2 separate regions of the Mus musculus genome follow, and region 1 is reported to be linked to region 2. The links are microRNA targets in miRTarBase. Many come from high-throughput screens and were not tested one by one. Region 2 holds a microRNA gene; the other region holds the end of a gene's coding sequence. Distances are between the middles of the regions.
What was found. Region 2 holds the annotated microRNA mmu-miR-292a-3p (AAAGUGCCGCCAGGUUUUGAGUGU, at 2,280-2,303, opposite strand). A microRNA usually pairs through its seed, bases 2 to 8, with sites in the 3' UTR of a target mRNA and lowers its output. Matches are read on the target gene's strand: a 7mer-m8 pairs with bases 2 to 8, a 7mer-A1 pairs with bases 2 to 7 and ends in A, and an 8mer does both.

Region 1: miRTarBase lists Pik3c2a as a target of mmu-miR-292a-3p. Seed matches in the 3' UTR shown: 7mer-m8 at 1,691-1,697.

What each region holds. Positions count from the first base shown.
Region 1 is chr7:116,337,559-116,340,632 of GRCm38, reverse strand. It overlaps Pik3c2a (phosphatidylinositol-4-phosphate 3-kinase catalytic subunit type 2 alpha), which reads left to right. Exons shown (of 33, transcript NM_011083.2): 33 at 410-3,074. The coding sequence ends at 592. The region is part of intron 1 of Gm10589 (a long non-coding RNA gene); the gene reads right to left. Among named protein-coding and RNA genes, the nearest start is that of Rps13, 4.9 kb to the right of the region's middle.
Region 2 is chr7:3,218,416-3,221,540 of GRCm38, reverse strand. It overlaps Mir292 (microRNA 292), which reads right to left and starts at 2,352; the gene lies at 2,271-2,352. Mir290a (microRNA 290a) reads right to left here and starts at 2,915; the gene lies at 2,833-2,915. It overlaps Mir290b (microRNA 290b), which reads left to right and starts at 2,846; the gene lies at 2,846-2,903. D7Ertd143e (DNA segment, Chr 7, ERATO Doi 143, expressed) reads right to left here and starts at 2,757. Exons shown (of 1, transcript NR_028425.1): 1 at 526-2,757. It also overlaps Mir291a, Mir292b, Mir291b, Mir293, Mir294 and Mir295, and 1 more gene.

The DNA of each region.
Region 1 (3,074 bases), 110 Mb from region 2:
GAAACCCTGTCTCAAAAACCAAAAAAAAAAAAGAAAGAAGAAAATGGAATTTTAATCTGTTTTTGGAAGATAATTTTAAAATTATATTATCAAACTTGCTTTCCATCTATCCTCTTTTTTTTTCTCCAGCGATTAGATCACCTTAAGGTAATCACCAGGTAATTTCTTTTTCTTTCCCCGTCACTCCAGCTCACAGAAACCATGACTGAGAGTTTGGGGATCTGTTTTTTGACAGTGATTGGTCCTACTTTACCCAGTGTCTGAGTTAAACACTGACAGACCAGAAGTTAAAAGCATGCTTCTGCTGCTCTAGTCAGTGCCATTCATTGCATCACTTTTTGACTGATGTCTTACATTTTGTTGAAAAGATTCCAAGAAACCAATCCTTATCCTTTTTCCCCTCCTCTAGCTTGTATATAGTGGATACAGCAAAGAAACTCTGAGGCAGAGAGAACTTCAACTGAGTGTACTCAGTGCAGAATCACTGCGGGAGAATTTCTTCTTGGGTGGAATAACCCTGCCACTGAAAGATTTCAACTTGAGCAAAGAGACAGTTAAGTGGTATCAGCTGACTGCGGCAACGTATCTATAAACTTCCGACTTCTGAGCTTTGGAAACAAGGAGTTATAAATGTGTGCGCATGCGCACATACACACACTTGGGAACTTTGTATAATTTCATACTTTGGCAGAAATTATAAACTTAACATGTTGGACCAACTGTCAGTCATATGACTAACTTTTATAGAAGCCATTGCTATTTCAAAGTTATTTTGTTGAGTGCTACCAATCCCAAACTTAATATATACTAAGTCCTGAAAAAGACTTTGACATAATACTGTGTCATTTTGGTCACCTTGTCTGTACTCTTCCTACACAGACACAGCAAATTGTTTTTTGTTATGCACCTCACAGCCTTTACCACTGTGTATGTTCACAGACACCAAAGGAAAGATGCAGCTGCTACTCAACAGGCTGAAACGCAAAGCACAAATAGTAGTCAGAATGCTGAGAACTACTAAGTCGTTTATAGAATAGAAAAAAATACGATTTTTATTCATTGTTAAAGCCTTTTCAGAGTAAGTGCCAATGACTGAAGTTGTAAATAACAGTGCCTTACTTAACTACATGCTTCACTGGCACTCTACTTCTGATTAAAGAGCAAGTAGTTTTCATGCATTTTCACCTTACTGAGGACAGCAAGTCATGCACATTTACTAATGGTTTCTCCACAGAAATACTATTTCCTCTACTTCTGGTTGTTTTCACTATTAAGCTATTTAACTTAATGTTTATTGCCCCGTAATTGAATGAGATTGATATTCAAAATTAGTATTCTAAATTCTATCATTCCATTATCATTTGTAAGGGTGTGAACTGAAATTGGAGTTTCACTTCCATGTATTTATACTTTACTCCCTCATTAAACAAATGGAAATTGTTCAGCCTTATTCCCTATTTTGTTTGGTAACGTGCTCAGGCAGGATAAGGAGTTTAATTTAGACATTTATGGAAGGTGTTGTGTAAACTGTCCTGTATTTGGAAACATTGTACATTCACATGAAAGAATTATTTTCTGTAATATACTGAAATGAAAATTGCAAGAGAGAAGTGTGAAGTTACTGTGGAGTAGCCATTAAGAATAAGATTCATTTTTAAAGCCAGGCATGGTAGCACACGCCTTTAATCCCGGCACTTGGGAGGCAGAGGCAGGCGGATTTCTGAGTTCGAGGCCAGCCTGGTCTACAGAGTGAGTTCCAGGACAGCCAAGGCTACACAGAGAAACCCTGTCTCAAAAAATAAAAAAAGATTCATTTTTATTCCCCATTTCAGACATAATTTTGTTTAGTTTTGATAAACATGTATATATAATAAATTTCTTGGTTAGAAGTTCAAATATTTTTAGAAAGGTAATAGAGATGTAGCAAATTTGGTAGTTAAGAGAAAACTGACAAACTACTTAATGAAGGGTACCAAGAAAGGACAATCGGATTCAGTTCGCTAGAATAAAATTTTTATGAACTGTACAAAGTGATTGACAGAAATGATGATGCTTACAGAGTTAAATTAAGAGTTAAGAGTGTTATCATTGGAATACATTTTTTAAAAAAAATCAAAACTTGAAATATTTGGTGCCTAACACTATGGTCCATTTGTAGGGAAACCTGTATGAGTATGTGAATTTTTTATATTAAACTGTGTTGTCTACTTGATAATTGAAATGAAGATCTAAGCACCGTTGTTTGCTTTTTCCACAATTAACATTTCCTTAAATAGTTTTGCAGATGTAAGTAGCACTAGAATATTTTTTTTCTTTTGAGAGAAACCTAATTCCATTCCATGGGTCACCCAGACTTAAAAAAATGCTGTTTGTAAAAGGTCGTCATTGACTGGACTCGTGGACCTTTTTGTGATCTGTTACCGTGTATCTTAGCAGAAACAGAATTAAAAATGTAATGTCACTTCAGTGACAAGAAATCTGATTAATATCTAAAAGTATATATTATAAGTAATACTGTATAGTTAACAAGAATTCAAAAGGTGATACTGTCTCTTAATTTTACTCAATTTGTGCCTTCTTTGGTCATTAGAATACATATATTTTAATGTAAGTTATTTCTTTGTAAAATGCTAATCTTCAGCCCATACCAAAAAAACAGTGATAGGGAGGAAGAACGTAGCCTCTGTGCACTGCGGCTGCAGTCACCATAGTCAGCTGGCTTCTAGAGCTTCTTAACAGTCACCTTAAAATACATCGGAAAACGAGAACGCTAGACAGGCCAAGACACTAATGTTTATGTATATCATATTTATAACTACCTTCAAGTAAAAATAAGTCTGCTACATACAAGTCCTGTGCCAGAATTCTTTGTTCTTGCCAGTGCTCTAGGATCTGAAGATGATCGCTCATCCCAAGAACCTGTTTTCTCTGAGGAATCCAATGAGACTGGCACCAATGCTTTATATTACTGTGTTTATGGGAATGAGTTGTTAAAGCATGTGTATCTTTTTTAAGTACTTTTTTTTCAAATTAAAGTTGTATATAAAGTTCAAAATCTTGCCTTAAATTGTTTA
Region 2 (3,125 bases):
TACCTTTATTATATTAAATTCAAACGCTATCCAGAAGTCCCCTATATCCTCCCCCACACCCTGCTCCCCAACCCACTACTTTTTAAAACCTGGCACCACCCCATTTCAGGTTAGCTTGTAACCATCCAGACACTCCACTAAAAGGAACTGGCCATGATGTATAGAAATGGAAAAGACTCACAGTATATAAACAAATGTGGGCTTAAATGTGGCTATGCTTAAAGGCACCTTTAAGCTAGTACAGGGTAATTCTTCCTTAAAACCATTGGAGGGGTGGCATGCCTAAATCCCAAGAGGCAAACAGGGGTGTCTCCCAAAAGGTGCCCTATTACTGTTGAAAACACTTCCAGCTATGTGTTGGTTTAACTTTTGGGGATTTTTTCAGACAGGGTTTTTCTGTATAGCCCAGGATTACCTTTAGTCTCAACCCCAGTGATTAAAAGGGTGCTTGCATGCTTGCAAGCTTTTTTTATCCCTAGGAACCATGGCGGGTGTTTTAAAACAAAAACTGAGAAAGCAGCAAAATCAAGAGAACAAGACTTTATTATTCATGTTTGGAGGCTGAGGGCACTGGTTGCTCCCATAGCACCTTGGTTCATTCAATAGCACCCACATGTCCCAGTTCCAGGAAACCTTCATCTGGATTCAGATACACACTACACATGCATGAAAGCAGCCGACCTGTGAATGGTGCCCACAGGAGAGACTCAAAAGTAGTAGCACTTTCTATGTACAGTCCAGAAGTGTGCCCCACATTTGAGTCTCACCAAGATGAGCAAGCAAGGAGTCTCTGGTTGATTGAAGTTCCGATGCTTTCTCCACATGGCAACACACAAAAGGGAAGCACTTTCCACTTAAAAGCTTAGATAGGGCCTCCATTTTGAGTATGGCTATATGGAATTTCGCTAGATCCAAACATGCCTACAACTGAACTGAAGATTAAGGATTATTCAATGCCAAAAGGATAAATGCAGCTATATGTAATACAGTACCTGTCAAATCTGGGTCACTTCCCGTGAGGTTCCGTGCACCTCAGCTTTTACTTTTGCCCCATTACAGACTGAATCATACCCACAGATGACACCCAAATGATGCAACACTTAGGCCAACTGCAGTTTCTCAATCGGCAACACTACAAACTCTGCGGCACTTCTTACAAAGAACAAAATGTCACACAGTTTGAGTACCACAGATTGAAGCATTTCCACAGGGACCTGCTGTGGTAATAAACCTGAAACTTTATAGTCAGTTCTTAGCCAGACCAGCCAGCCAGGCAGGTTGAAGGCAAGTAAGTACCCCAGGCTAGGCAGGATTACATTCAACTCAACTGGAACACCTGAAAAACAAAGAGAATCCATGAAGATTATGCTTAGGGCACACAATGTAACACCTGTAATCCCAGCCCTCATGAGCCTGGGCTATTGTAAAGCCAAAAGGTATTATGGGTATTATCTACCCGGCTGTCCACCAAGCTTGTTTGTGCTAGGAGCCAGGTTAAAGTCAGCTACAGCCAGCAGGTCCTAAAAATTCAATCCAACCATATCAAGACTCACAACCATCAGTCCAACTACAGTAGTCAAGCAAGATATAGCAACTACAGTAGTCAAGCAAGATATATAGGATCTTTTAATCCCAGGTGGATGGAGCTGAGGCCAGGCTGGTCTACAAGTGAGTTAGCTCCAGGACAGCCAGGGCTACAGAGAAACCCTGTTTGGAGAAAAAGGAAAAAAATTGAAAGAGGACTTAATATGGCGGCCACGTGAGATTTAAAAGTAGGCCTTTCTTTACTCAGACCTGAGGCTTAGACTCACCACCCCTGGACCTGGAGTGCCTCCTTCCACCCTGCCCTGCTTCCTCCTCACCTCCAGCCTTGCAGCTCGAGTAGCCAGTGGCAACGAATTCACCTCCAGCACACATACCTGTTTCAAGCAGGTAAGCGATTCCAGGTTGCAGCTGCAGCCGGCTTTTCAGACGCCATGTACACACAGAGACAAACAAAATGGATGCACTTTCCCGCCAAGCCGCGGAGAGGGCCTCCACTTTGATCGACACTGTATGTTCCAACTTCCAAGACCTGAGGCTCAGCTCCTCCGAGCGAGGCCCATGTGGGATCCCGGCTCCTTTATGAACGCGGAAAGCCTTTAGTACCGCATGCGCCCAAGTGTTCGGACTCAAACCCACATGTGACACCCACCTGCCCAGAAATGCAACCCCAGTGAAAACATGACCCACTAAAACTTAATTCTTAGTTCTTAGCCGTTTTGAGTTCTCAACCGGTGACACTCAAAACCTGGCGGCACTTTTCTTCCGATGAAAATCCAAAAGAGCCCCCAGTTTGAGTATCACAGGCTGGAGGTCAAGCTTAAGAACAATCTACAATGCACCTGGACTCACGACTGCCTTACATCCATCCGCGTCTCGTGGCACCCAACTGAACCGCCCTCTTTAGGATAGGACCCATTAAACTCCAAGCCTAAACCCCCACACAGGTTGTCCGCTCCTGTAAACCGATGCGTCAGATGCAAAGCTATGATGTTTTCCCCATGCAGTGGCACACAAAGTGGAAGCACTTTCTCATTCAGGCTCAAGAGAGGGCCTCCACTTTGATGGCCGCTACATAGGTGTAACAGCTCCAAGCAGCGACAGGACGCACATGGAGCCCCCAGGTACCCTACAACGACCACCTCAGTTACCGTCTACTGGGCAGGATGCCCATCCCTAGCCTTTCGCTATACTCAGTCTCATTCCTTTCTTCGAATCCGTACTCACCACGCTGCAGTTAACCCGGAACACGTGGCACCAGGGCTGGTAAATGTGCCAGATAGCCGTTTTCTCAACCGGCGGGGCTTAAAACTAGGCGGCACTTTTTAAAGAAAAAAAAAAGTGCCCCCATAGTTTGAGTACCGCAAGATGAGGCGGTCCAGACGTTAAAACATTTACCAGGAGGAAAGAACGTGGAGAACTTAAAATTCACTCCAACCTGAAGGAAACCTGGATGAAATCAAGGAAGAGTTAGTACATCGGTCTAACTCAAGGTATAGTGAAACTCAAAATTTCTACAATGAAACCACGTAGTTAATGAAATGTACTGCATAGACTCCCTAGACCTGCCCTCAGTAACTCCT